Elephas maximus indicus: one gene and its partners. The protein of the gene in region 2 purifies or fractionates together with the protein of the main gene of each other region. This does not show direct contact. Links are inferred from orthologs where the notes say so. Each region holds a gene or a part of one and is shown on either strand. Other genes may lie near its edges. The genes, in order: TBL1XR1, BAG2, HSF1 and UBAP2.

Region 1 (7,383 bases), on a different chromosome or scaffold from region 2:
GTTATGGTCCATTAGTCCTTTGGACTAATCTTTCTCTTGTGTTTATTTGATTTCTTGACTGCTGCTTCCAGGGGCATTGACGGTGGATGCAACTGAAATGAAACCGTTGACTTCAATCTTTTCTCTGGTTATTATAATGTTTATTGGTCTATTTGTGAACATTTTTGTTTTCTTTATGTTGACATGTGATTCATACTGAAGGTTGTAGTCTTTGATCATCATCAGTAAGTGCTTCAAGTCCTCTTCACTTTCAGCAAGAAGGCTGTGTCATCTGCATGTCGCAGGTTGTTCGTGAGTCTTCCTCTAATGGTGATGCCATGTTCTTTTTCATACAGTTCAGTTTTTTGGATTATTTGTTCAGCATACAGACTGAATAAGTATGGTGAAAGGATACAACCCTGGTACATATCTTTTCTGGTTTTAAACCACTCAGTATCCCCTTGTTGTATTTGAATGACTGCCTTTTGATCTACATACAGGTTCCTCATAAGCACAATTAAGTGTTCTGGAATTCCCATTCTTTGCAATGTTATCCATAATTTGTTAGGATCCACACAGTTCCATGCCTTAGCATAGTAAGTAAAACACAGGTAGGCATCTTTCTGGTATCTCCGCTTTTAGCCAAGATCCATCTGACATCAGCAGTGATATCCCTTGTTCCATGTCCTCTTCTAAGTCTGGCTTGAATTTCTGGCAGTTCCTCGTCAATGTGCTGCTGTGACCATTTTTTAACTTATCTTCAGCAAAACAATTCAGGGAAGGGTTGTAATTGTTCAGTTCTGCCTGTTGCTGCTGAATGGAATAAGTTTAATGGACGGGAAGTATTAGGAAGCCCATTTGGCTGTGTATCAAAGCCTTGTTCTTCAAAAATTAAATAAAAAATAAAATAAAAATATTTTATCAAATAAAAACATAACTTACCTAATGGTGCTAGCTTTTTAAGCAAAAAGATTTGAGAATTTTACTAAATCTCTAAATATTTCTGTTATGTTCAACAGAACATAAGATTCATCATATTTTGTAATTAGTTTATCATATTTATGAGCCTTACTTATTTGTGATTCTTTTGTTTGTTGAGCATCTGAAATATTTTAAAAGAAGATTGAATACATTAAATGTATAAATGCAGTTTAATAATTCTAGGGAATGGAATTAACCAAATTGTAAACATCTCCTTAACGGGAGAGTTGGGTATGTAACTTGAATTTCAAAGTTGGAAATAAAAGCAGGTTTTCAAATGTATAATAAATAAAACTGAATTATTGTCTATTGTCTTCTTTGCCCAAAAGAGCTGTCTCCAAAAATACCCCGCAGAATGTAAAACAGTATACCAAACCAAACCCGTTGCCATTGAGTCAATCTCGACTCATAGTGACTGTATAGAACAGAGCAGAGCTGCTCCATAACGGTTTTCAAGGAGCACCTGGTGGATTTGAACTGCCAACCTTTAGATTAGCAGTCATAGTTCATAACCACTACACCACCAGGGTTTCCATAGAACAGTAAAACCACTTTGGAAAATGATTATGGTGTTTCCTTAAAAAAACTAGAAATAGCAATACCATATGACCCAGCAATCCCACTCCTAGGAATATATCCTAGAGAATTGAGCTGTCACATGAATAGACATATGCACAACCCATGTTCACGGCAGCATTATTCACGATAGCAAAACGATGGAAACAACCTAAGTGCCCATTAACAGATGAATGGAGAAATTATGGTACAGACACACAATGGAACACTACACACTGATAAAGAAAATGAAGAATCTGCAAAACATCTCACAATATGTACGAATCTGGAGGGCATCATGGTAGGTGAAATAAGTCAATCACGAAAGGACAAATACTGTATGAGATCACTATTATAAAAATTCAAGGAAAGGTTTACACTCAGAAAGAAACAATCTTTGATGGGAGGGGAAAGGTAGGGAGGGAAAAACACTAACTAGACAATAGGCAAGTGGTAAATTTGGTGAAGGGTAAGACAGTACACAATACTCGGAAGTCAGCACAACTTGAACAAGGCAAAGTCACAGAAGCTCTATACCCATTGCCATCAAGTAGATTCCAACTCACAGAGTCCCTATAGGACAGGGTAGAACTGTCCCATTGGGTTTCCAAGGAGTGCCTGGTGGATTTGAACTGCTGACCTTTTGGTTAGCAGCCGAACCCTTAACCACTACACCACTAGGGTTTCCAGAAGCTCTATAGGCATAAGCAAACTCCCTGAGGGACCGAGTTACTGGACTGAGGGCTGGGGAGTATGGTTTCAGGGGACATCTAGATCAATTGTCATAACATAGTTTATAAAGAAAATGTTCTACATCTGACTTTGGTGAGTAGCATCTGGGGTCATAAAAGCTTGTGAGGAGCCATCTAAGGTACATCTACTGGTCCCACTCCACCTACAGCAAAGGGGAATAAAGAAAACCAAAGACACAAGAGAAACATTAGTCTAAAGGACTAATGGACCACAAATACCACAGCCTTCACCAGCCTGAGCCCAGAAGAACTAGATGGTGCCCAGCTACTATAACACACTGTTCTGACAGGAATTGCAATAGAGGGTCCCAGACAGAGTGGGAGAAAAATGTTGAAAAAAATTCAAAGTCACCAAAAAAAAAAAAAAAAAAAGACCAACTTACTCTTCTGACAGAGACTGGTGAAACCCCAAGAGTAGGGTCCCTGGACACCTTTTTAACTCAAAACTGAATTCAGTCCCAAAGTTCATCCTTCAGCCAAAGATTAGCCAGGCCTATAAAACCAACAATAGCACACATGAGGAAGTGCTTCATAGTTCAATCGTGTACAAGACTAAATGGGCACACCTGCTGAAAAGCAAAGCCAAAAAGGCAGGGAGAGGAAAACTGGACAAATGGAAATGGGGAACCCAGAGTAGAGAAGGGAAGAGTGTTGACACATCATGGGGTTGGCAACCAATGTCACGAAACAATTTGTGTATTGATTGTTTAATGAGAAACTAATTTGCTCGGCAAACTTTCACCTAAAGCACAATAAAAGAAAAGAAAAAAAAAAGAACACCCCCACACCCATAGTGCCATGTGGTGGCAGAGGAAGTGGTGAGAGGCAGGGAGTGAGGGGCACAAAGTCCTTCCTTTTGTGATGAGGAGATAGGTACACTAGTAGTATCAAAGAGTGCCAGAGAGTGAATCTGACTCGTCGGTTATAACCACGTCTGCATTCAATAAACATTTTTTGCGATTCCGATCTAGGAAATGGATGTCATATAAATGTGATTTAGATGGGGTTCCTCCTCTCCAAGCAGTTTCTCCTTTCCTCCACTTTGTATTTCCCTGTTCTCCTCATTCAGCAAATGCTTGCCCTTTCCCGCCTTGACCTGCTTAGCTTCACAAGGTGGAAGAGCAGATGCTGCACACAGACAGCCTTGAGTTCAAATCCTTGTTTTGCCATTATTGGCCTCGTGACCTCAGAAAAGCTATTTGGTCTCATTGCCTCATTTTCCTCATATGTCAAACTGGAATAATATTACTTAGCTCTTCAGGCTATTGAGAATATTAGAGACAACAAACATAAAATACTTTGAAAAACACTTGGCAGCATGTTCAATAAATAACTGCAATTAATATTACTATGGCTTCCATCAATATCCTTGCATAGTTAGAATACTGTGATGATGAAATATGATGTATAGGCTTCTGACTAAATCAAGAGCAGAAAGGCCTTGGTAATTTAACAACAAAAAACAACCAAAAACATTTTGGTGCAGGAGACATTGGATGTAACAGTGAACTCTTCCCTATCTGTACTTATTCCCTTATCTATTGTACCTAAGCCCATGGTTTTAAATACCCTTACTCTATTGAACCAATACCTACCAGTTGTCATTGCATCAATTCCAACTCATGGCAACCCCATGTGTGTCAGAGTAGTACTATACTCCATAGGATTTTTCAGTGGCTGATATTTTGGAAATAGATTGCCAGGTCTTTCTTCCAAGGAGCTTCTTGGTGAACTCAAACCTCCAACCTTTGGTTAGCAACCAAGCATGGTAACCAATACCTACCAGTTGTCATTGCATCAATTCCAACTCATGGCAACCCCATGTGTGTCAGAGTAGTACTACACTCCATAGGATTTTTCAGTGGCTGATATTTTGGAAATAGATTGCCAGGTCTTTCTTCCAAGGAGCTTCTTGGTGAACTCAAACCTCCAACCTTTGGTTAGCAACCAAGCATGGTAGCTGTTGGACCACCCAGGGATGCTGACTTAAAATGATATCTTCAGCCAGATACCTCCCCTGAACACAAGATTTGCATATCTGGCTGCCTACTCAACATCTTCACTGGGTGTCTGATAGGCACATTAAACTAAAACAGCAGCTCCACTGCCTGGCACACCAAGCTTTCAATAAATATTTGTTGACAGAATGAGCAGCAAACCCATCAACGTAATTTGAGGCCTTGAGTGTCGCCCCGAGGAACTACATGGCTGGTCAGTATAAGTAAGTAATTGATGGGTATAGTACTATATTCTGTATGCGGGTGCTTTTCTGTACTTAATCACAAACACAAGACACAACCTGCTATTTCCATTCTGGGAGAGGCGTAAATAGTTGTAAGATGGTTGTGTGCTTCTTTTGTAATTTAAATTAAGACTCCCAAGTAAAGTTCATTGTTGTAATGAAATCGGGTCACAGAGGCATGGAAAACTGTGACAAGGTTCACACTGATGAGAAAAGGTCATGAGTGGCACGCTAAGGGCAGATGGAGAAAAGGAACTTGTGTGCTGAGATCTCGTGATGTGTGGCTGAGTTGTACATCAGTCCGGATGGCAAAAGCTGATAGCTGGGAGAACCACAGACAAAGAATTGCAAAGTCAAAATGAAACAGAAACATATCACAGGCTATCAGCAAGACGCCTGAGGGTGAAGGCTACAGACATAAAGCTATTGAGTTCCTGGGTGAGTAAAGAATATCAAAAAAGCACCAGGATGGTATTTTTGGTGTCAAATATCCTTTTCATGGTATTAAGTTTGTGTTGAACACTTTAATTGTATCTGTCAGTTCGTGTCAACAATGTAAAACATCATGGTGGCTTTAAAAAACATGAGGTCCTGTAGGCCTGTGAAGAAACCACTTTAAAATGCTCTATTTCCTGAATGATGAAAGTTGCAAAGATGTAGGCTATCCTGCCATACCACACCCCCTGGGTGTAATATTACTGTAATAAAACAAGTCAGGATTTGTTTAGTCATTTTATAACATATATGTAACTTCTGGTAACAGTTGCTAGTATAAGGTTTCTCTTTGTTGAGTAATTAGCTAGAAAGTTCAAGAGAACTTTCTTAATAATGTGTCCCTTTTTTTTTGCTTTAGAATTTCTTTGTAACAATAATTTCTCCTTTCTAGAAACATATTAACATTTATATTCAAAGCATAAGGCCAGCTTTTAGACTAGGACAGAGCTCTGAAGATTAGCAACAATAGTTACTTCTTTGTCCTTACGCCCTACACCTACTTACCCTGTGAATTTCAGCGCAGCCTGTGATCTTGCATACTGGGTAAGTTGGAAAGGTTAGAAGGGGAGGTAACAATACATGCAACCTTGTGGGGTGAGTATCTGAGCATTTCATGTTGAAAGCACACTGTCTTTTCAGTTAGGTCCCCAAAGTACAGAAATCAAAGTGATCAAAATATGGTCTCATTTAAAATTCCCTTCATGGGGGTGGGGCGGGGAGGGGGGAATCGGGTTTTTCTACATTAGTTGCTTTTCTTTGCCCAAAGGTACTTACTTGAGTTTTCTCTTCGGTGAGCATGCTTTAATAATGACAGGTGAGCAGCACTTTATAAAAACTAGTTGTGGTACCTGATCCCGCCTTTAGTGATTTTTAACATGACATCCAAATGAAGGAAACCCTGGTGGCATAGTGGTTAAGTGCTATGGCTGCTAACCAAAGGGTCAGCAGTTTGAATCCGCCAGGCGCTCCTTGGAAACTCTATGGGGAAGTTCTACTCTATCCTATAGGGTCGCTATGAGTCGGAACCGACTGGACGGCACTGGGTTTGGTTTTGGTTGGTATTCAAATGAAGTAATTTATGCAGAGAAATACCTTGTAACCTACGATGAGGTAAACAAACGCATGAATTATTATGATTATGCTGAGGTTCAACTAACACAACCTCTGTTATGGGAGGAGGCAGTTTGGTCTAGGGTACAAAAACTCTAGGCCAGAAGCCATGGGTCCTGAGGAAGGTGGGCCCTCTCTCCACCATGGGAGTAGTTACAGGGGTCATTCTCGGGCTGGGTAAGGCTGGGGCCCCAAGTTTGGGGATGATCCTATTAAGAACTGGTGTGGTTGGGAAGTCCTTACTCAGTGGAAGAGTGGTTTGGTTTTACGGTGGCTGCTGTCTGGAGAAGACCCCTGTGGCACAGTGTAAAACTTTAAAAACAAGCTAGGCCAAAAATAGATTTGTTTCACTGGTTCAGATAATGATAACTGTATTGAGATAGTTTACTTCTTGAAGAGAGGATTTGGTGACATACATATTTCATTAATCAACTCTTAAAATATTAAAAAAATGAAGATATTGTACTTCCATCACTTCTTAAAGAGACTTTGCAAAAATGCAAGCTCTGTGATAAATAAACCTCTTTAGAATCCTACTGAAATGCAAAACTCTTTGTTCTGTTTTCCTGTACACTCTGAACAGTGTTTTGGAAACCTGCAGTTATCTAAATTCCCATCGGGTGACATTGTTTAATCTAACATTCCCTCTTTCAAATATCAAAATAGCTAGCTCTAAGGACAAATGCTTTGAACTTTTCTGGTGGTTGGGAGGGAGTTTCCAATCACACTGTTTCCTCGCTTGTTTTTCCGGCTCCCCTCCCCCATCTCATGTGGGTCACGAAAGGCCTGTCTGCTGCCTTCAAGCTGGGGCCCATCAGGGGACACAGCTATTGACCCTAGCCAAGAAAGCTTCTGCTTTCATCTCTGAGTTTATTAGGCCACCCGGAGTCCACATGTGTAAAAGTTACTTCAAATGATACTTTTTTTTTTTTTTTTGGTGTTAAAATTTAGGTCTCTGATATTGAGGAAAAGACTATTGCTTTAAAATGACTACACCTATTTCCAAATATTGTGATAAAAGTATAAAAACTGAACTCCTCACTTTGAAAAGCTCCAAAAATATTATTTTGCTTTGAAGATAGTAAGAATTGAAAATAACAAAAAGGTTTCTTTTAAGCTGTATTTTAACTTCCAAAGGGTAGCCGCTTTTTCTGTCCTAGGCTTACACAAAGGTCTGAGAAGCACCCCCACCCCTGCTTTCTGAGAGCCTTAGAAAGATTAACACCACATTTGCTTTAAAAACTGAGGGGCCTCCGTCTTCAAAACATG
Region 2 (7,565 bases):
GTTTAAGTGAAAGTTTACAAACCAAGTCAGTCTCTCATACAAAAACTTATATACACCTTGCTATATAATCCTAATTGCTCTCCCTCTAATGAGATAGCACACTTGTTCCCTACACTCTCTGTTTTCATGTCTATTCAGCCAGCTTCTGACCCCCTTTGCCCTCTCATCTGCTCTCCAGACAGGAGCTGCCCACATAGTCTCATGTGTCTACTCAATCCAAGAAGCTCACTCTTCACCAGTATCATTTTTTATCCCAGTGTCCAGTCTAATCCCTGTCTGAAGAGTTAGGGGAAGGTCTGGGGACCATGACCTCTGGGGTCCTTCTAGTCTCAGTTGGACCATTAAGTCTGGTCTTTTTATGAGAATTTGGGGTCTGCATCCCACTGCCCTCCTGCTCCCTCAAGGGTTCTCTGTTGTGTTCCCTGTCAGGGCAGTCATCAGTTGTAGCCGGGCACCATCTAGTTCTTCTGGTCTCAGGCTGATGTAGTCTCTGGTTTATGTGGCCCTTTCTGTCTCTTGGGCTTGTAATTACCTTGTGTCCTTGGTGTTCTTCATTCTCCTTTGCTCCAGGTGGGTCGAGACCAATTGATGCGTCTTAGATGGCCACTTGCTAATGTTAAAGTTAAATTTTTGATAGCCTGTGAGATTTTGCTGTTTTGTGGTTTTGCTTTTCTATTTGTTTTAAGATTCATATGCATCACTTCAAGTCTTTTTGGAAATAAGTGACGTAGATTTTTCTTTTTAATGTTGAAATAAGTGATTACTTGCCAGTTGACTGCCATCCCTAAATGAAAATAACTTGCAAGGTCCTTAGCACATTATATTCATGTATTTTGAATTTCATTTTGAGGTAATATCCAGATTCTCATGTTTCATAATACTCAAATTTTATGGAAGAAAAACTTCCAAGTTATCCTAAGTTTTTCCAGTTTACTTTTCCTTTTCTTTTTGAAAAGGTGAATGTGCTTGATGAGATTTATATAAAGCACATGTTTATTAGCTTTCTGCCCTAAGTATTAAAATTTATGTTTTTTAATGCAGATGTGGAATTAGAAGAAGCTATTAGAAGAAGTCTTGAGGATATGTAATTAAAGATATTACCACACAACATCAAGTGGCCTTGAAGAGATTCTCAGGATGAGTTCTAGAGTTTGTTTTCTAAAGGACACCGAAATCTACTAGCATAAATGTATTTGAGAATATGCTTTTGCATTCATGTATTCAGAGTCTGATATTTGCTTTGTGTTTTTGTGCTATTTGGCAAAAATGTTCAGAAGGAATGGAATATATATTAATACAAATATAAATCATGTATTCTAATGTAGGTATTCGTTTCTCAGCTAACTTCGAATGCATATACTTAGATTAAAATGATTTTTAAAAAATAGAAAAAATCTTGGCTATTGTTTATATATTTCTCAAATATGTGTTCTTTAATTTTATTTGTACTGTACAGATGATTCTGGTTTATTTTTTTAGGAGTGAAAATGAATAGAAATAAAGCTGCTCAATTTTTCTGTAAATCTTCTCACGTGGCATTGATATAAAATACATTTTGAGATCTTTATTTATAATTATTAGACCAGAGTAGTGGAAATTGATCATGTAAATAGATTAAAATTTTTACCAACAATGTCCCTTTTGGGTTTTGCTCAAATGTATATCCCTGCTTTAATTAGAGGAGTACATTGCTAGAAAAAAAAAAAAATCAATTTTTTTGAAATAATTAAAAGGAAACATTTTCTATTCCTTTTACCTGCTTAGACTTTTCTATGACTTGTATGAGCTACTGTTGAAGGGGAATGATGCTAAAATATTTGTGTAGAATTACACTTATTTTTAATAATCTTAGTCCTTTTTTAAATATATTTATGTAAACATAATATTCCTCAAAAAATAATGTAAGGCCTACTCAGGAATATTCTTCCTTAACTGTTTTAAAAAAATTATTTCTTATGAAAGTAGCTTCATTGTAGTTATTCATTGAATTGTCAATTTCCTGCATTTGGATTACATATTTAATTTTTAGATGTTGAGGCCCCATTGTGAATAGTAAAAATATTACATAAATAGCAAAGTAAGAAGAGCTCATGATACTACCTGTGTGTGTTTCATGTTTTTTGACCAGAAATCCTTTAGCATTAAAAAACTGAGTAGTAATTACTTACCAAACTTGAAAACATTTCTTTAAACATAAAGCTTTCTTTAAGACAAAAAATACCATGGCCAGAATTTTGTTCTTTCTCTGTAACACTGGATATTTTATTGTAAAGTGGAATTACTGTTTTTTTTTTTTTTTATTATTAACAGCCTTTTCAACCCACATTGAAAACCAAATTGTGTATTTCTTAAGATGTCAGTTCTGTTCCTCCCTGCTTACATTTTTTTAAAACACCATAGCTTGAGAATTTACCTGTCATCATTCTAAAATGACCACATTATGCTTTCAATTTGTAGGTTGAAGTGGTCAAGCAGGGCTCTAGGAGGTACTCATTAAGCCGGACTTTAAAGATACTTGCAAGAGCTTTCTAAATAGGAGCAGAAAAAATGGTCCAGGAAGAAGAGTGGTTTAGCAGATGTGGGGCAAGTGGAGACAGTAGCTCTTTGCCAGAGTTCCATACATGGGTGTGATGTACACTGATATTCCATTAATAAGCTTTTGTGGTTTGTATGGTAGAGAGTAACCAAAACTTTTGAAATGACAGGAAAGGAATATTTCATCATGACCTTTAAGAAGAGGTAGTTTAATGTTTTAATTAATAATTGTCACCAATTGTATTTCTACCTGTAAAGCAATTAAAAGTCATTTAAAAGTACGTCATAGTTTAATTTAATTTAGACACAAGGAGAAGATATAATCAAGTGGATGACATTAGAGAAAGTCATATGGCTTATTTATCAAAAGTAAATGTTTCTAACATAAAGATGCTTTTCATTACATTATTCATTCATTCAAAGAACTATTGAATACCTACCATGTACCAGCAACTGTTCAAAGTACTCGGGATGTACCAGTTAGCAAAATAAAGCCTCCACCCCTCTGTGGAGCACACATTTGGGGAGAGGGGGTTGGATGGAGTTTTAGATAATAAGCAAGTAAACAAAACAGTATATCTGATGATGATAAGGGTGATGAAGGAGGGGCTTACTATTTTTAATAGGGTGGTCAGGAAATATCTCTCTGATGGGTAAAGTTGAGCAAAAGAAGGTGAGGGAGTGAGCCATGCAACTATATATGGGGAAAAGTGTTCCAGGTGCAGTGAAAAGGTCTAGAAGTGAGTTCAGCATATTCAAGGAAAAGCAAGAAGGCTAGTGTGGCCGAAGCGGGATGAGCTAGGAGGGCAGCAGATAAGATTGGAGAATTGAGGTGGGGAACTGTGCATGGAAGGCCTTAGGCCTTTTTAAGGACTTGCTTTTTCTCTCGCATGAGGAACCATTCTAGGTTGCTGAGAATGAGTGGTATGATCTGCCTTATTTAAAAGAATTAACTATAGTTGCTTTATCAAGAAGACATGAGATGCAAGAGTAGAAGCAGAGAGACCAGACAGGAGGGTACTGGAGCAATCCAGGTGAGAGTTGATGGTAGCCGTGGAATTGGGGAGAAAAATCTGGATATATTCTAAAGGTAGAGCTAACGGATTTTACTCATGGATTGGATCTAGGATATCAGAGAAAGAGTTCAGCATGGTTCTAAATTTACTTCATAGACTTTCACACCATTAACAAAATGTCTTCAGATTCCGAGCTTGTGTCACAATATGACAAAATATGTTTAATGAGGTCAAATAATCTCCTACACCAATAGTTCATTAGTATTTAGAATGAGTTCAGAGGGAATTTCAATCTGGGTTTAAGGGCCTTATGTTCAAGTATTAAATGGCTTTGATGTCTGATTAAAGGTTGTGATTCAGCTTTAAACGGTTTTGTCATTTTCTGTGCTCTGCACATTTTCGCCTTTACTGTATGACACACAGCTATAATAAGATGGGAACAAAACAAATTTTTCCTTTAAACAGAAATCGTTATACTCCCAGACCTACTCCAATCTTTTACCGACCTTTATGGTATCTCACCTAGTGGACTACTGCATCTTGCCATTGTTACTAGGAGATTTAAATAAGTTAAACATAAAATGGCCTTCATTGTTAATACCAACTATTTCACTCACTTCCTACAGGAATAATTTTTTTGAATAAACAGTAAAAACAAATCAATAAAAATTGCTTCATTAGAATGGGTGGAAACGAAGCAAATTCATCTTGCTTCCCATATCCAGCTAGACAGACAGGTGTGGTAGCTTTTTTTTTTTTTTTTTATAGGCTTAATGTTGTCTAGGCTGTGATTTTCATCTCAGGAAAGGGACGGGTAACAGGACAGGTCTGGACTGCCTAGGGGTTGTACATAAATGCTTTCAGCTCCCCAAAGGGACCATTTCTGCCCACATCAAAGGACTTTTAACTTTTTTTTTCCTTGCTGTGAATTATGGGTGCTGGGAGAAACTGAAAGAAGCCATCACTGAGCACTACACCCACCTGTGGGCGTTGGTTACTTTCAGGCTGCACCGAGCAGGGGGGTCCATTCCGGGGAAGGAGGCGGGGCGTTCTCCGCGTGGGCGTCGGTTGTTCCAGACTTCGGCGAGCAAAAGTACCAGCCGCTCGCGTTGTGCCCAACCCGCTGCCTGTGTCCGCCCTTCTGGGTTCCTTGAAGGCTGCCTGGCATTGCTCCTCAGGTCCCCTTGCTCTGCCTGCCTATCCTGGAGACCCGGTGACCCGCGAGTCCCTAACCACTTCGCTCCCCCCGCCCCACCGCCGCAGCAGCCCCCGAGCCCCGCGGGCGCCGCGTCTGTCCTTCTTTGGCCAAGCGGCAGCAGCAGTGCCGGCGCGTCTCCCGGGCCGTCCCCCGCGGGCGTCAGAAGGAGGCGGTCGCCCCGCGCGGTGACAGCGACGCCTGCGGCCCCGGGAGCGCTCCACTCGCCGCTGTCGCCAGAGAGGCCGGTGACCTCTTGGCCCCCCCGCCTCGGAGGCTCAGATGGCTCAGGCGAAGATCAACGCGAAAGCCAACGAAGGACGCTTCTGCCGCTCCTCCTCCATGGCGGACCGCTCCAGCCGCCTGCTCGAGAGCCTGGACCAGCTGGAGCTCAGGTGAGCGCGGCCGGCGGCGGCGGGGTTCCCATGCGGAGGCGGCCGGGGCCGGGCGGGGCCTGGCCGGCCGGGCGCCGTCCCGCCTTCCCGGGGCTGCCTGTGCAGCAAGAGCCGTGCTTGCTTGAGATTTGTTTTTGGTGGAGATGGCGCGGTTTTGTTTCTTGGTGTTTTTTCTCCTTGTCCGAGAGAGGACAGATTCTATTTAAGCTAAACCTGTGAGCGTGTTATTGGTGGTCACATTCTGATTCACGTGTCTGGGCGTTTGGCAGCGGAGAAAATACAAATCAGAAAAGATAAAAGTTACGATGACATTGTTTGAGATTAGGGACTGTGGCACTCCTGGTGAGCAGAACTTCTAGAACCTTCTTTGTGCCTCTACATGGTCCTTCCAAATGTTTCTAACTTAACACTTTTTCTGTTATGCGTTTTTAAGGGAGGCAACAGTTTAGTGTGGCCCCCGATATGAAATGATCAGTTTTGTTGCTCCAGAACGCTTTAGAGCAAAAAAAAAAAAAAAGGAATCCACCCAAAAGCAAGGTTTAGAGAGGAGTGGGACAGATGCTGGGCTGTGGGGTGAACGGTAGCTGGGTATTTTATGGAATAAAGACACCGCAGCTTCCCTTCCTCTGGTAACCCCGCATACTGTATTCAGCCATTCCCTTAGTCTCTAAATATTCATTGTGTACCTTCTTATATGGAAGTCACTGTGCTGACATGACACCTTCTTGAAGGTGCTAGTCACCGTGGCCTGAAAGCTTGAAAACATAGTTTCCCCTTTTACCTGATTAAGATTTCATTAAGTGATTAACCGCTCCAAGTCGGAATCGACTCCCCGGCGACGGTTTTTTTTTTTTTTTTAAGTAATTAATGCAGTGGTAGGCTTGTATAGAATTTCTGAATTTATAATAAATTTTGGCAATACTTTTTATTCCTTTAACAGTATATGAAAACTTTTGTTTCCTATGAACGTTTTGATCTGTGTACAGCTTTATGTACTTAAACGAAGATCTTACTAAGGCATACAGGAACCCCCCGAAATTGGACAGAGTTTTGTTTCACAGTTTTCACCAGGTTCAAAAAGGTGTATGTGAGCCAAAAAGTGTAAGAAGGGCTGCATGTATGTGTTTATCTCTCCTGATTAATATACCAAATCAAAAAGAGATGTATGTTTTCCAAGAAAAGTAATAGCCACAGTATTCTCTAAGCACTGAGGCACTTCCAACTTTCCCAAGAGTCAGAGAATGAGAAATTCTCCACGTACGACGATTTCATGAATGGCAACAGAGAAATCTGAGCCCTAAGCCAGGTTCTGAGGTTCTGCTCAGAATGAGACAAATGGAACAAGACAGAAACAATGCTTCTATGTGAATTTCCACAAAAATAGTAAACCTGACCCATTCAACCCAGAGAAAGTGGAGCAAAACTAGAGATCAAAGGCCTCAACGACTTTCTGTCTCTAAGAGTAATATTTCTCTCCATGCAGCAGTGTAAAAAGTAACTCACACCTCTCTCCTGGTCTTTAGAACTTTGAGAACATGTCTTCTGACTTTTCAGGAGTCTCCTCAATTCAGAAAGAAACGGTTTTTTCCTTAAAAGAATGAGGAGGGCGTGGCCCCTCCTTCAAGCTGAGTCATTGTCCTGAAACCAGAACTAATACCTCACACGTGGTGGGTACAAAAGTAGTCAAGTGTGCCTCTTTAAAAGAAAGCATCTAGTTTTTTGAGTATTATTATAGTCAGATGTTTGATTAATGTAAAATAATTACTGCATGTAAGTGATTAAATTACAACTTGCTTAATTAACCAGTGAGCTGAGGAGGAAGGACTACTGATTAATATGTGTCTTAATTGTTCATTTCAAGGACTTTTCTAATAATTCTAGACTTTTAAAAGCTCTATTTCTTCCTTTAAAAAAAGAAACGAAACTGAAAACTTAGGAAGTATTTCACCAGGTAAGAAAAGATAGAAAAAAATGCTGCCATTCCTATGAAAGTTGTTCTGAAACCACGCGGGGTATATTAGGTAGAGGAAAATGTTACCATTTTGTACTTAGAAGCACGCATTTACTATTCTCCAATCACACTGGTTCTGTAGATTGAGAAAGAAATTTCTTCCATATGAAACTGAAAGCAAGATTATGCCAAATGCTGTATGATTTGAATTACGAGCTGGTGTGTATGTTTAAAATGCTTTAAAATATTTGGCAGCATTCTACAAATCATTAAAGAATTCCATTTGTTTCTAATACTTTATCATGACACTAGCCTTTCTTCTTTGACTCCATCTCCTTTGTTCCTTCCTCTTAAAGAGGTAATTCATGTCTCTCCACGTTTTCATAACCAGTTCTGAACAGAGTCTGAATTTTTCATTTTGCAGTGGCTCAAGACACCCAACTTGTTTGTTATTGTTACTTTTTTAACAACTA
Region 3 (7,849 bases), on a different chromosome or scaffold from region 2:
TCCAGTGAAAGGAAAACAACTTAAATCTAAACAGGTGGATTTCTTCACTTAAAAAGCGGGGAGACTTGGAAATCAAAAACTATTAACTATTGTTATGGACTGAATTACGTCCTGTCCACAAAAAATACCGTGTTGTAAATCCTAACCTCTATGAGTTGAAATTGACTCAACGGCAAAGGCTTTGGTTTTTTCCGGGGTATGCCTGTGGTTATAATCCCATTGGGGAATGGGTTGTCTATGTTAACGAGACAGGATTAATTTAGAGTGTATCTTGAGTCAATCTCTTTTGAGAAATAGAAGAAAACAAAGGAGCAGAAGCTCAAGGAGACAAGGAGAGAAAGCCTTCCCCTAGAACCAGAACCCTGAATTCAGACTCCAGCCTATGAGAAAATAAATTTGTTAGAGCTACCCACGGTTACAGCAGCACTAGGTGACTGAGACAGCTGTACTCACCACCTGGGGCCAAGGGCACTGCAAGGGAACACACACTCATTACTGAACATGCTGACATATCATCAGACTTTTCTTCAGAGAGGGCAGATTTTGTACTTTTGAGAAGAGAGGGAAAGTTTCCCATGATCCTACAAGCCAAAACAGGCACAGTGCATGTGGCCCTTCCCAACGGGGATGACGTGCCCCGCGGCCATTCGCACCAGGGTCAGTGCAGGTCCCAAATGGCAGATGCTGAGGACGTGAACTGTGGCTCCATCTCGTCTTCCTTACCAAACAAATCAAACCCAGTTGAAACAACCACAGCATTCTTGGTGCTCTTACAGGAGTAGACTTCTGTGTAAGTCAAAGTCACGAATACCAGAACACCAGGGCTGTTTGAAGTACAAACTGGTGTAAACTAGTTTCTAGAACTTTTTAACATAGTCAGTTTGTATTTTGTTAAATTAAGCTTTTCTCCCACTTTCCTTAAATCAAGAGCAGGGATCAACCTTCCCCATCATCACAGTACCCGGCCCCGGTCCCCGCAGGGCTCCCATGGGTCAGCCAGGCTCCGTGCTCTCTTCCGTCGCCCAGGTGCTCCACCTACTCCTCATAAGTACCCTGGGCTGGGACACGGGCCTCACCCCAGGCTCTGCTAAGCTAAAGTCTGGCTGGGCCAGGAGAGTTCACCCTTGTCCTGTGGGGGTGACATAGTTTTTCCCCAGTGACTGACACCCACTGTGGCTGGAACCAGTGTTCTGGAGCCCAGCTACCCCAGCTACAAACAGGTGGCTGCACTTGGCACTAAAGGTGCCCCAGGGGCACTGAGGAAGGGGTGCCCACGGGGTTCCCGAGGGAGCTGTGGAGAAAGGCACAGCCTCTTGGTGAGCCCCAGGCCTGGCAGGCACTGCTTGCTCCTGGTTGCCTGGCTTCTGGGGAGGCCCACAGGAGGCCCTGCCCACCCACCTGTGACTGCTTCTCAATGGTCTTCCCCGTCCCGACATGACCTTCATCACTGTTGGCCCCATCCTCACTGTCGTTGTCACTGCCAGAATCTTCTAGGCCGGAGAACACGCTCTCCTCGCTGTTAGAGAGGCCAGAGTCACTGGTATCGATGTGACTAGGAGCAGGGCTGCAGAAAGAGGGCTGCAGGGAAGGAGAGTGTTGGTTCAGCTGGAGCTGCCTGCCCACCTGCCTGCCCACCTGCTTGCCCACAGGCCCTGTGCTGAACAGGGAGGCACAGCAGAGACCGGCTCCTCCAGGCGCCACCACAGCTCTGAGCAGCAGCAACCCTCCACCTCCACCCAAGCCATCCAGCCCAACCCAGACCTTTCCCATCTTCCACCTCCACTGACAGCATCGCCGTTCACCCTTGAATGGGCGTTTTACTTCCCAGTATCTCACAAGACACAGAGACTTTTCAAGGACACCATCCTCTTCTTAGAGTTTAGTTCTCACTGCCTTCCCAAAACCGGCTTTCCATGCCAACTGAAACCCCCCATGCCTCACCCTGATATTCGAGGTCCCCAGAGCCATGAGAGCACTACTAGGAAAGGGGCTGGGGACAGCAGAGAATTAGAATCCACGAGGGACTTTTACTACCCGAAGCAAAAGCCTCCTCATCGCATGAGATTGGGACAGCCAGTCAATCAGTAAACTGACAATGTTGGTTAAAGTCATTCATAAACGTGATGCAGTGTAGGGCCTGGCTCTCTGGGCCAAAGTCTGAGACTGAGGAGGCACAGTGGGCGATCCTGGCGTGGCCTTTACCAAAGGACAAGGACGCAAAGGCGCTTAGGAAGCAAACTGAATGCAGAATTCTGGATTCCCACCTTCTTCAACATTTCACAACCATCTCGCCTAATTGGACAGCCTGTGTTTATCAGCGGTCCCTAGCACTCAACTTCATCTTTGCCTATGCTCACCAGCTGTTTCTAGCATCAAACTTTGTTTTCACAGATATGACCCTCTCATACGCTCACACTATATCTCTGACGTTTTGATAGCTACACATCACAAAAGCAAGTAGAAATGGCATAAGCTGGTTTGGAAACAAACACGACAGAAACTCTTGATGAGTGCCCAGCCCAAGTGATGGCCGCAGCCACGACCAGAGTGGAGCACTGCCTGCTGGGGATGAGGGGTGGGCAGCAGCAGAGGCGGTGTAGGTGAATTTATCTCACAAAGAGGAGGGACAGCTCCCACCAATCCAGCTAAGTGGTGTCAGCTGTGAGAGGATCCAGCGGATGTGCCTCTGTGCTCCAGATGTGACGAAACCCCCAACCAAGCAGGATTGAGCTGGGAAGCAGAACCAGCAGTGCTAAGTGGGTTCAGTTAAAACAACGTGTCCAATGCAAGAGGCTCAAAGGCAGACTGTCCACTGGGCTCTAGTTACATTTCTGCGTTCTAACATCCTTTTCTCCTTGCTGTAATATATCTAACATATTAGCCTCATAATACAAACAAGTACTGCATAATTAAGCGTATATTGGAGGAGCAAGCTCAAGTGTTCTTTAAGTTTTCATTTATTGGTTCTTGTTGAGAACGTACACAGCAAAACACACCAATCCAACAGCTCTACAAGTACAATTTAGCAATGATGATTCCCTTTGAGTTGTGCAACTATTCTCACCCCCCTTTTCTGAGTGGTTACTCCTCATTAACACATTCTCACTGCTCCCTAAGGTTCCAATCTAATTCTCCAGTTGCTGTCGCCACTGTGGTCCCATATAAACAGTGCTAAAAAGACCATAATGCTCAAGGCAGACATTCTTTACTGGCTAAGCTAAACTACTGTTTCGTGTTAAGAAGACTTCAGAGAATATTTTTTATTTAAGGTTTAAAGATGATCTCAGGGCACCCTCTGTGACTCCAGGAAGTCTGGATTCCATGAGAATCTGAAATTCTGTTCTGCATTTCCCCCCTTTTATCAGGATTCTTCCACAAAATGTTTCATCAAAACATTCATTCACGGTAGCTGGGCACCATCCAGTTCTTCTGGTCTCATGGTAAAAGAGGCAGTTGTTCATGGGGGCAGTTAGCCACACGTTCCGTATCTTCCTCCTACTCCTGAATTTCCTTTTTCCTCTGTTGTTCCAGGTGAATGGAGACCAATTGTGCCTCAGATGGCAGCGTGCAAGCTTTTAAGACATCAGGCACTACACAGAGCGCCAGGCAATAGTACAGAAGCACTGAACAGTGACCTGGGATATGCCGTGAAACCATGAACCTCCAAACCAAGAAACCAAATCCCACGAGGTGTTGGTGCACAAGCAGTCTCAGCACTGCTCTCTGGTCCTTGTAGTTCAAATGTTCTTAATGACAGGGTGATGCCCTGCCCTCCATTCCCACCCTCTTCCCATTTCGCTCCTCCTTAGACACTGTTCTCCAACCCCACAGAAGTGCCCCTGATTCCAGACTGCCTAGACACCTCTGCCTGGACCCCTCCCCTGCCGCCGCCTCCACTAGAAGGCAAGGCCCGATTCCCACGGCACCTTTCCTAGATTCCTAGTTCCCCCACGCGACTCAATCCTCGCTCTCAGCTCCAGCCCGACACACACTTCGAGTGGGCTCTCCTAGCTGCGTGCCGGCGAGGTTTGCTTGAACAGCCATCAACAACAGGCCTCCACTAGGATGCCACCCGACACTAGGGCGGGAACGCCTGCGCCGCCTGTGAAATTAATGCCGAACCCCAGGTTGCTTAGGGAGGCGGCTGTCCCATCCTACCCGCCCTGGGCACGCCTGGAGCGGTCCCCTGCAAACAGCAGCCCGGCACCGATACCCTTTCGGTTAAAGGAAACCCCATCCCCGACCTTCACCTCCGAAGCCTCGCCAACTCTGACGCCTCCTCTCCGCCCAGCCACCGCGCGATGTGTCGCTGCCACAGCCACGGAGGATGCGCCCAGCAGCCTCGGGGCGCCCCGCACGTGCGGCCGCGTGGGCTCGGCCTCGCCCGCCCGCCGCCGCCCCGGCCCCAGCGCCCGCCGCCCCGGCCCGCGCCCGCTGTCACCTCCTCCTGCTCCCGCTCCGACTCCCGCTCGGGCTCCGGGTCTGGCTCCGCGGGCCGCTTCCCGGGCCGCGACTGCGTAGCCGCCCCACGTCGCGCGCCCCGCGCGCCCGCCATCCTCCGGTGAGCCTGCTCTGCTTAAACAGCCGCTTCCGGCAGCGACCCGCCGCGTGCGCCTGCGGGGCGTGGCAGCGGGGTCAGAGGGCGCGGCCGGCCCGCCCCGCCCCGCCTGCGTTGATTGGTGAACGGTGGCGGGGGGCGGGGCAGAGCCATCCCGCGCAGGCGCGTGGCGGCCGGGAAGGGGCCCAGAGCCGGGAGCGCGCGCGCGCCGGTGGGGACGCAGGCCGCCGGGCGGCGCCAGCGGGAGCGCGCCCGTCCCAAGATGGCGGCGGCCATGGTAGGCCCCGGGGCTGTGTGTGCGCAGCGGGAGGCTGCGGCGGCGCGGCGCTGGCTGCGGGTGCAGCGACGGCGCTAGCCCGTTCCTCGGCCTCTGCTCGCGGCCGCTGTCTCTGCCTCTCCCTGCCTTGTCCGAAATGGATCTGCCCGTGGGCCCCGGCGCGGCAGGGCCCAGCAACGTCCCGGCCTTCCTGACCAAGCTGTGGACCCTCGTGAGCGACCCGGACACCGACGCGCTCATCTGCTGGAGCCCGGTGAGGGGGCCGCCGGCCTGTCGGAGGGCGGGGAGGGAGCCCGCCGGGCGGCGGGAGGGCGGGTCCTGCCCCGCCGTGGGAGGGAGGCCGCTCCGGGAGGGGCGAGGGCCGCCCGCGAGTCCCGGTGGGAGCCCGGGAAGGCGGGGGCCAGGTTCCCGCCTCTCACCCCCCGTGGGCGGGGCGGGGAGCCAGCCAGCCAGCCACCGCCGTGGGGGCGCGAAGTTTTCAGGGGACGCCTCCCCGCTCGGTTCCAAGGCCTGCAGGTCTCGAGTTTGCCCCGTAGGAAAGGGAATTCCAAGACTCGGTCCGCTTTGAAGCATGTTTAGGGTCCTGGGGGTAACGGCCCTGCTCTTCCCACACCCCGACTTGGTTTCAGGGATTTTCAGCAGGTGAGGTGGCAGCCTCTAGCAACGCTGCTGTCCTCAGCCTCCTCCTCGTTCAGCTGCTGACCGGCTGAAGATTCTCCGGGACGGGAAGGGAAGGCTGGACCTTCTCGTTCTTTGCTCCTTTGCTAAGTGTTGGACAAGCGTGGAGATGTACTGTCCTTAGACCAAACGTCCAGTTTCTCTAACGAACATTGTGCCAAAGTGGTGATTTTTATCTCCAACGTGTTACTGCGGTGGTGTTACTCAGAGGCAAATCAGAACTTGGCACATGAATCGCAGGGCGCTGCTCTAGTGGAGAGGAAAGGGGATGAAAACAGAAAGTAAAACGTCATAAACTCAAGCTGATCTCCTGTGCGTTTCCGGATCCCAGAAGTGGGTTTCCTTAGAGCAGTTTTGTTTTTCGTTCCTGGTGGGGCATCTCTGTTCACGTCCTTGTAGTCCGTTGCCCGGCAGCAGGCTTGTTTACGCGACCTGACCCTGAAGTACCCGACAGCTCTGGTTTGTAGGAGTTAATCCGTGATTATGTCTGGAGTTGGCGTTCAGATGGCTGTTCACATCCTGGCTGTGACAGTGTGTCTGATGAGGGCCACAGACCCAGCTCAGGGCTGGGATGTGATTGGTGGCCTGAAGGAATGCACTTTTGGAGACACCATGTTAGGGCTGGGTGCTTCCAGCCATACTTAGACTTCCTGTGAGCTCACACATTGGAATTTCTCAGACTGCAACTATGGCCCTTTTGTAGGCCAGTTGCTTAAGCTTAGTTGCCATCAAGTGATTCCGACTGCCAGTGACTCCATGTGTGTCAGACTAGAACTGTGCTCCAAATGGTTTTCTGTGGCTGATTTTTCTGAAGTAGATTGCCAGGCCTTTCTGCTGAGGTATATCTGGGCAGACTTGAACCTCTGACCTTTTGCTTAGCAGGTGAATGTCTTAGCCATTTGCACCACCCGAGGACTCCTCCTTGAGCCAGTAGGAATGAAGAGAAGTCTGGGCTGAAGCTCTGCCTTGTCAGAGGGCATTTGGGGATAAAGAGAAGGGTAGAGCACTCACCCTGCACTCCCTCAAAGCGCTTTTCTGAGAAATTTTTGCCTCTGCTCCCTGCCATCTCCTGTGTGGGTATCCCCTACCCCACCCACCCACCCCCCCATCCCCTACCACCATTTCTTTAATGCCAGGTACAGGTCCCTGGAAGAGGCAGTGGGCTTCCCCCGCATGCTCTCTTCATGTTTCCGCCATCCCTTCCATCTAGACCTCAACCCTTCCTGGCCAGACAAGATGACCCAGTGCTTCTTTCTCCCTGACCCTCTCCTCCCACCTCTTGCTCATTCCCCTTAGCTCACAGGAGGGGGAGGGGTATTAGGGGGCTGATCCTAGAGGTTGCAGAGGCTGTGAGGCACCACATCTCAGGCCTCTGGGCCAGCACACTCTCTTCCGGGACCCTCTGTGTGTTCTGGGAAAGGCCTTTGCCTGGAGCATTGTACTTGGCTGGGTTTGCGGCCATCGTCCACCAGGCATAAGCCTGGGCAGGGTCCCCAGAGAGGCTTTGCTCTTGTATCACAGCCATCTGTGATCCCATCGATGGGGCGGGAGCCAGCCAGGGTGCAGGCGTGTGGTTCTCCCTGGTTAGCACGCAGCCTGAGTGGCTGGGGTCAGTGCAGGACACAATGGGGCTGGTGGTGACAGTGAGCCCCAAAACCCAGCTCTGGCAGAGAGAGGACTGCGGGCTACCTGGCCCTAGAAAGGAGGGGATGTTCCCATCCTGCAACATCTGAGGACACCCACCAAAGCCCTGCAGCCCCTCTTTCAGCTCAGCCCCAGTCCAGGACCCTGCAGATTCTGTCACCCAGAGCCCAGCCCCCAAAGGCCTCAGGGAGGCTGATGTTCGTGCCTGTGCTGGAAGCGTTCTCCCGCTCTGCCCAGAGGTGCTGGCAGGCAGGCGCAGTGCTCCCTTGTGTGACACGGGACGGGAACTAGAGGCCTAGTGAGAATAACTCACAAGACCGACCTGCATTTGCTGGGCCATCAGAGTGAGCACCTCCTTAAATGTTGTGCCCTGACAGGAGAGTGGGGACGCTGTGGTCCCCAGGGCATGGGCCCTTCCCAGAGTGCCCGTAGTGTCAGTCTTCAGAGGCCTTGCTCGGAGAGGTGCTGAGCCTCTGTGTGGACTTGGTCCTGTGGCTGGGCAGGAGTCAGGCCAGCCCAGGTATTCCCTGGGCAGTCACACCAGACTCCAGGAGTTGGCAGGAGCTGGACCATGGGGTGCACGGGCAGTCTCCCATCCGCCCCAGAACCCACCCAGCTTCAGGGCCAGGTCTGTTGGGTAGGGGAGCTCATTCAACTCAAGCTCTTGAACCCCTGGCCTCGGACTGTTGCCA
Region 4 (7,118 bases), on a different chromosome or scaffold from region 2:
GGAAGATGAGCCCCCCAGGTTGGAAGGCACTCAAAAGATGACTGGGAAAGAGCTGCCACCTCAAAGTAGAGTCAACCTTAATGACGTGGATGGAGTAAAGCTTTTGGGGCCTTCATCTGCTGATGTGGCATGACTCATAATGAGAAGAAACAGCTGCAAACATCCATAAATAATCGGAACCTGGAAAGTACGAAGTATGAATCTAGAAAAACTGGGAATCGTCAAAAAATGAAATGGAACACATAAACATCGATATTCTAGGCATTAGTGAGTTGAAATGGACTGGTATTGGCCATTCTGAATTGGACAATCATATAGTCTACTATGCTGGGAATGACAACTCAAAGAGGAATGGTGTTGCATTCACTGTCAAAAAGAACGTTTCAAGATCTATCCTGAAGTACAACGTTGTCAGTGATAGGATAATATCCATACGCCTACAAGGAAGACCAGTTAATATGACTATTACTCAAATTTCTGCACCAACCACTAGGGCCAAAGATGAAGACATAGAAGATTTTTATCAGCTGCTGCAGTCTGAAATTGATAGAACATGCAATCAAGATGCGTTGATAATTACTGGCGATTGGAATGCGAAAGTTGGAAACAAAGAAGGATCAGTAGTTGGAGAATATGGCCTTGGTGACAGAAACAATGCCGGAGATCGAATGACAGAATTTTGCAAGTCCAACAACTTCTTCATTGCAAATATCTTCTTTCACCAACATAAACGGCAACTATAAAAAAAAAAAAAAAAATTTTTTTTTTTATACATATGGACCTCGCCAGCTGGAACACACAGAAATCAAATTGACTACATCTGTGGAAAGACATGATGGAAAAGCTCATTATCATCAGTCAGAACAAGGCCAGGGGCCGACTGTGGAACAGACCATCAATTGCGCATATGCAAGTTCAAGCTGAAACTGAAGAAAATCAGAGCAAGTCCACGAGAGCCAAAATATGAACTTGAGTATATCTCACCTGAATTTAGAGACCATCTGAAGAATAGATTTGATGCACTGAACACTAGTGACTGTAGACCAGACGAGTTGTGGAATGACATCAAGGACATCATCCATGAAGAAACCAAGAGGTCAATGAAAAGACAGGAAAGAAAGAAAAGACCAAGATGGATGTCAGAGGAGACTCTGAAACTTGCTCTTGAGCATCGAGCAGCTAAAGCAAAAGGAAGAATTGATGAAGTAAAAGAACTGAACAGAAGATTTCAAGAGGGCCTCTCGAGAAGACAAAGTAAAGTACTATAATGACATGTGCCAAGAGCTGGAGATGGCAAACCAAAAGGGAAGAACATGCTCGGCGTTTCTCAAGCTGAAAGAACTGAAGAAAAAATTCAAGCCTCGAATTGCAGTAGTGAAGGATTCCATGGGGAAAATATTAAACGACACAGGAAGCATCAAAAGAAGATGGAAGGAATACACAGAGTCATTATACCAAAAAGAATTAGTCCATATTCAACCATTTCAAGAGGTGGCGTATGATCAGGAACCGATGGTACTGAAGGAAGAAGTCCAAGCTGCTCTGAAGGCATTGGTGAAAAACAAGGCTCCAGGAATTGATGGAATATCCATTGAGATGTTTCAACAAACAGATGCAGCGCTGGAGATGCTCACTCGTCTATGCCAAGAAATATGGAAGACAGCTTGCTGGCCAACTGACTGGAAGAGATCCAAATTTATGCCTATTACCAAGAATGTGGGAATTACAGAACAATATCATTAATATCGCACGCGAAGCAGAATTTTTCTGAAGATCATTCAAAAACGGCTGCAGCAGTATATCGACAGGAAACTGCCAGAAATTCAGGCTGGTTTTAGAAGAGGACATGGAACCAGGGATATCATTGCTGATGTCAGATGGATCCTGGCTGAAAGCAGAGAATACCAGAAGGATGTTTACCTATGTTTTATTGGCTATGCAAAGGCATTCGACTGTGTGGATCATAACAAATTATGGATAACAGTGGGAAGAATGGGAATTCCAGAACACTTCATTGTGCTCATGAGGAACCTTTACATAGATCAGAGGCAGTTGTTTGGACAGAACAAGGAGATACTGATTGGTTTAAAGTCAGGAAAGGTGTGTGCCAGGATTGTATTCTTTCACCATACCTATTTAATCTATATGCTGAACAAATAATCTGAGAAGCTGGACTTTATGAAGAAGAACGGGGCATCAGGATTGGAGGAAGACTCAGTAACAACCTGCGTTATGCGGATGACACAACCTTGCTTGCTGAAAGTGAAGAGGACTTGAAGCACTTACTAATGAAGATCAAAGACCACAGCCTTCAGTATGGATTGCACCTCAACATAAAGAAAACAAAAATCCTCACAACTGGACCAATGAGCAACATCATGATAAACGGAGAAAAGACTGAAGTTGTCAAGGATTTCATTTTACTTGGATCCACAATCAACAGCCATGGAAGCAGCAGTCAAGAAATCAAAAGACGCATTGCATTGGGCAAATCTGCTGCAAAGGACCTCTTCAAAGTGTTGAAGAGCAAAGATGTCACCCTGAAGACTAAGGTGTGCCTGACCCAAGCCATGGTATTTTCAATCACGTCATATGCATGTGAAAGCTGAACAGTAAATAAGAAGACCGAAGAAGAGTTGATGCCTTTGAATTGTGGTGTTGGCGAAGAATATCGAATATACCACGGACTGCCAAAAGAACGAACAAATCTGTCCTGGAAGAAGTGCGGCCAAAATGTTCTTTAGAGGCGAGGATGGTGAGACTGTGTCTTACATACCTTGGACATGTTGTCAGAAGGGATCAGTCCCTGGAGGACATCATGCTTGGCAGAGTACAGGGTCAGCGGAAAAGAGGAAGACCCTCAACGAGGTGGATTGACACAGTGGCTCCAACAATGAGCTCAAGCATAACGATTGTAAGGATGGCGCAGGACCGGGCAGTGTTTCATTCTGTTGTGCATAGGGTCGCTATGAGTCGGAACCGACTCAAGGGCACCTAACAACAACAACAGGCAGGTATTTTACATAATCCCGTTTAATTTTCACAATCTTGCAAAGTGGGTATTATTATCACAAGGTAACAAAGCTCTGAGGTAAGGCTTCCTGGACTCAAAAGTCCGTGTATCTAACCAAGTTGGGATAATGCTTTTGAGGCTCAAATAAGGCAATAAATGAGAAAATACCTAACATACTAAAATTATAAATGTACTTATGCTTAATTCCTGAAGGAATAACTGGGTCAGATCTTATGGAGAGGAGGGTCAGCGTTCGAAGACAGAAAACCTGGTTTGGATCTCTTAAATCGGAAAATAACTGAACCTCTCTAATCCTCTTTCCTTATCCTTAAAATCCGGTCAATCCCTGCCTCAGGGGGTTGTTTATGAAATTTAATAAAATGATAATACAAACGGCTAACGTTGAGCAGGCGTCCGATAGATGTTAATCTTTCCACACAGAAAGGAAATGGGGAATGCAGAACCAATTCGATTCCACATTAACCAAGGCGGAACTCGCGAGGTATTCCTGCCCAGCGCACCAGACCCGTTCAGGGTCTTCTTGAACCCGCCCGGGTACTGCAGGTGCTCTGGCGAACCGTTGGCGTTTTCCCGCGCAGGGGGAGGGGCGGAGCGCAAGGCCGGGAATTTGGTAGCGGCGTCCGCCCACCAGGACTACATCTCCCAGCAAGAACCAGGTTCAGTCACCTGGTCGACGTAACCCACTGGTATTAGTCTCAGAAGCTAGAGATGTCCACTTTTCTTCTTGGCCTTCCCTTGGCACTATGTTCCCAGGTTTACGTCTATGAACCTGCACGGAAAAGGCTGTGGTAGTGCATGTCTTTGCTATGGAGCATGCTGGGAGTCGTAGTCCTCTCGTGCAACGTGTGGGAAGCCAGGCTTGCCTTGAATGGTTACACCATATCACGTGATACGAGATCGCCGGAGGTGGCCGACGAGCGACTTGCAGTGCCTTATGAGGTCATCACAGCGCGACAAGCTGCAGTTAGGGCATCCTGGATGCGGTGGGTAATATTTCCCTAGCCTTTTCCAAGTAGGGGAAATCCCATAAAACTTCCCTCACTTGCTCCTTTCTCTTGCCCCCCGCCACCTCAACGCTGTTGGCCTCACGGGGTTGAGAGAAGCAGTGGCTAGAGGAAGCGGTGCGCGCTTTGGGAGGTCTCGGGAGCCGCACGGAAGCGGCTTGTGGCTCCTCCTTCGGTGGTGACGTAGAGGTCACGTGACGGACCGGGCCGCCTCCGCTGCTGCCGCGGCTTTGTAAGCGGCACATTGGCAGGTAACGAGAAGCGGCGGCGGCGGCGGTGGTGGTGGTGGCGGCGGGTCGGAGTGCAGCGGGAGCAGCAGCGGTAATTGCCACCTGTCCTTCTTCTTCCCTTTTCCAGGTTCCTGAGCCTTGCAGCGTGCGCTTTCTAGTCCTGGGTTCATCTTTTCTTTGCCCTAACCATCTTCAGACTGCCCCAGCGCCCACCCGCGAGGACCGGGCCAAGCTTCCCTCCTCAGCTTGACGCTTCCTCCGTATCCTCAGGCCCGGGCACCCCCCTTCCTCTCTGGGTTGCCCTGGTTCTCCTTCCTGTCTACCCCCATCCTAGTTCCACCGGCCCCACCCAGCCCCTGGGGGCGTCTCTCCCCCCCCCGCCACCGATCTTCTGTCCTGGAGGGTGTGGTTTTCTCTACCACCTCGTCCCTGCCAGTCCTCTCGAGCTCCCGCGCCACGCTCTCGCTACCATCCTTACCATCTTTCCGCTTTTACGCCCGTCGCTAGTCCTGGGACTGGCCCTCTTAGAGCCCAACTTCTGCGCTAACCCAGAGGCATAGTTCAGTTCTACCTCTTATTCTCATTTCGGAGGTCTTTGGCCTCAGACTCTTAGAACTCCGTTTTCTTCCTCAGCCCCAGTTCCTGTGATCTGGTTGTGTCACAGTTTGTTCTTTAATGTCGATTTGAGAGCGCTTTGTAAACTGTGGAGCGCTGCCTGTCAGACGTGTTCAAAATGTTGTATCTTTCATTGGTAGATGACAATTCAGTTTTCTTGGCTCTGAATCACTTTCCCACTCTCCTCCAGCCCTCTCCTCATTCAGTGTAATTAGTTGCCCAGGCATCTCACATTCACTCTATGGATTCTTGTTTTCTCTAGGGATCGATCCGTAGTCTTTCATGTTTGACCTAATTCTGTAGTTTACTACTACTTCTCTTGGAGATTGCTTTTCCAAAGTTTACGATCACTCAGTATTCAGGCTTTTCTCTTATCCAGCGCCTGCATACCCTAACAGTTAAGGCCTTTTTAAGGTCTCCATCCAAAGATCATCTTTTATTTGAAATTGTTTTGTATGTATGTATGTGTGTGTGTGTATATATATAAATATATGAAACATTCACTTTCTGTGTGAATTCACTTATATTTTTTCTTCCATTTCGATAGCACTTTTTTTCACCTACGGTTATGTCAAGAATTATTGTGTTCTCATTTTTAATCATGAATTGTACATTCTTTTTACTGTCAATTTGTTTGATAAAGGTGGAGGGAAGATGAACATCACACCTAAGCACTCCTTTACCTTAGTCACTGGGTGGGTAGGTTGGGCTGGTCCCCATCTATCTCAGGAAAGGGAATAAATTCCACTCTCTGAAGATGATATAGTCTTCCAGTATACCAGTGTGGCTTCTCTGCGTCTGGAGCCCCTTGGCTGGAAGCAAAAAAGCATTTTTTGGGGGGCACCCTTTAATTGCTGTGAAGCTTGCCTTATCCTTAGGCAAAGGTGATTAGTTTCCTACATCACTCTTTTGCTTGCCTCCAGTGTGCTGCTCCTGGTTTTTCCTCCTTATGGCTAGTTCACACGTGGGATGAAAGATTGCCCCTGCCCCTCACTCCCCAATGCCCTACTTGTTTCCCACAGTTCTGGTTTCTCCTGTTTCCTTGTTGCCGGCTGACCTTCAATTATTATTAAACGGTTCAGTGAGGGGAAGTTTTTGTTGTGATTGAAATATGGCTGGGAAATGGTGGCTTGGGAGAGAATGAGGCCATAGGAAAGGGCTGTGGTAATTGTCCCTCCTGCCTGTTTCCTGCTGCTCTGGTTTCCTCTGGCCTCTCTCTTTAAATGTGGGCTGGACCAGCAGCACTCACATGGAGCTACCTTTAGAACAAGGCCAGAACATCAGTAACACCTCTGCTTCCCTTTCCTGGTAACTGGTGCAGACTGTATAGTGCTCACCAGGAGTGTCTTGATACTATCGTGAGTGACTATTATTTGGGGGAGAAATGGTGGGAGAACAGGGAGAAGAATGGGTTTATTGTCTTTATTCTAAATATGCAGTTGTGTTTTGATGTGAACTGGTCACTGTCTCTACCACCTTTAAGTACAAACTACATGTAGAAAGTACAGACCTATTTTGAAGATTTGAAGTGATCTCAAGTGAAGCCTTTACTTTTAAAGTGCTAGTCTTATTCCCAATCCTCCCCCCACCCCCAATGGTGACTTACTGTTAAGATTTCCTTTGTTATAAGACCTATTTTTTTTCTCTTTTAATTTTTATTGTGCTTTAAGTGAAAGTTTACAGATCAAGTCAGCCTGTCATACAAAAATTTGTATATACCTTGCTATAAAAAAAAAAAAAAAAATTTTTTTATGTACTTGTAGTTGCTCTCCCCCTAATGAGACAGCACACTCCTCTCCACCCTCTAGTTTCGTGTCCATTCTTCCAGCTTCTTTCCCCCTCTGTCTTCTCATCTCCCCTCCAGACAGGAGCTGCCCACATAGTCTCATGTGTCTATTTGATCCAAGAAGCTCACTCCTCACCAGTATCATTTTCTGTCCTATAGCCCAGCCCAATCACTGTCTGAAGAGTTGGCTTTGGGAATGGTTCCGGATAAGACCTATTTTTCAGGATTGGGAGTGTGTTATAAAAGAGCAAATGCCTGTTCAAAAGAAGCAGTCTGTATGAGCTCACAAAGTTGTGATGCTCCTCTGCTCTTAAACAAACCTATTTTACTTTGTTACTCTTTGTGAAGTAATCTGTACGTCAGCAAATATTGCTAAGCTCTTCGTTAATTTGAGTAAAGGAGTGTCCTTTAAAAGCTAAGTGTTATGGCACCTGTGGTGTTGGCTGGTA

The links.
Region 1: the proteins of BAG2 (region 2) and TBL1XR1 purify together in Homo sapiens (affinity purification with mass spectrometry; 3 studies listed by BioGRID and IntAct, with this or other methods). This does not show direct contact. The link is inferred for Elephas maximus indicus from reciprocal best matches to the Homo sapiens genes BAG2 and TBL1XR1.
Region 3: the proteins of BAG2 (region 2) and HSF1 purify together in Homo sapiens (affinity purification with mass spectrometry; 3 studies listed by BioGRID and IntAct, with this or other methods). This does not show direct contact. The link is inferred for Elephas maximus indicus from reciprocal best matches to the Homo sapiens genes BAG2 and HSF1.
Region 4: the proteins of BAG2 (region 2) and UBAP2 purify together in Homo sapiens (affinity purification with mass spectrometry; 3 studies listed by BioGRID and IntAct, with this or other methods). This does not show direct contact. The link is inferred for Elephas maximus indicus from reciprocal best matches to the Homo sapiens genes BAG2 and UBAP2.

What each region holds. Positions count from the first base shown.
Region 1 is NC_064841.1:22,503,191-22,510,573, forward strand, and holds the start of TBL1XR1 (F-box-like/WD repeat-containing protein TBL1XR1), read left to right. Parts: upstream 1-4,377; 5' UTR 4,378-4,488; intron 4,489-7,383. UniProt on the Homo sapiens protein: F-box-like protein involved in the recruitment of the ubiquitin/19S proteasome complex to nuclear receptor-regulated transcription units. Plays an essential role in transcription activation mediated by nuclear receptors.
Region 2 is NC_064819.1:122,937,821-122,945,385, forward strand, and holds the start of BAG2 (BAG family molecular chaperone regulator 2), read left to right. Parts: upstream 1-4,502; 5' UTR 4,503-5,028; coding exon 5,029-5,141; intron 5,142-7,565. UniProt on the Homo sapiens protein: Co-chaperone for HSP70 and HSC70 chaperone proteins. Acts as a nucleotide-exchange factor (NEF) promoting the release of ADP from the HSP70 and HSC70 proteins thereby triggering client/substrate protein release.
Region 3 is NC_064833.1:674,079-681,927, reverse strand, and holds the start of HSF1 (heat shock factor protein 1), read left to right. Parts: upstream 1-4,783; 5' UTR 4,784-4,971; coding exon 4,972-5,088; intron 5,089-7,849. Other genes in the region: ribosome biogenesis protein BOP1, read right to left, coding at 1,399-1,578, 4,442-4,555. UniProt on the Homo sapiens protein: Functions as a stress-inducible and DNA-binding transcription factor that plays a central role in the transcriptional activation of the heat shock response (HSR), leading to the expression of a large class of molecular chaperones, heat shock proteins (HSPs), that protect cells from cellular insult damage.
Region 4 is NC_064827.1:42,908,114-42,915,231, reverse strand, and holds the start of UBAP2 (ubiquitin-associated protein 2), read left to right. Parts: upstream 1-3,957; 5' UTR 3,958-3,968; coding exon 3,969-4,017; intron 4,018-4,291; exon of another isoform or gene 4,292-4,359; intron 4,360-7,118. UniProt on the Homo sapiens protein: Recruits the ubiquitination machinery to RNA polymerase II for polyubiquitination, removal and degradation, when the transcription-coupled nucleotide excision repair (TC-NER) machinery fails to resolve DNA damage. May promote the degradation of ANXA2.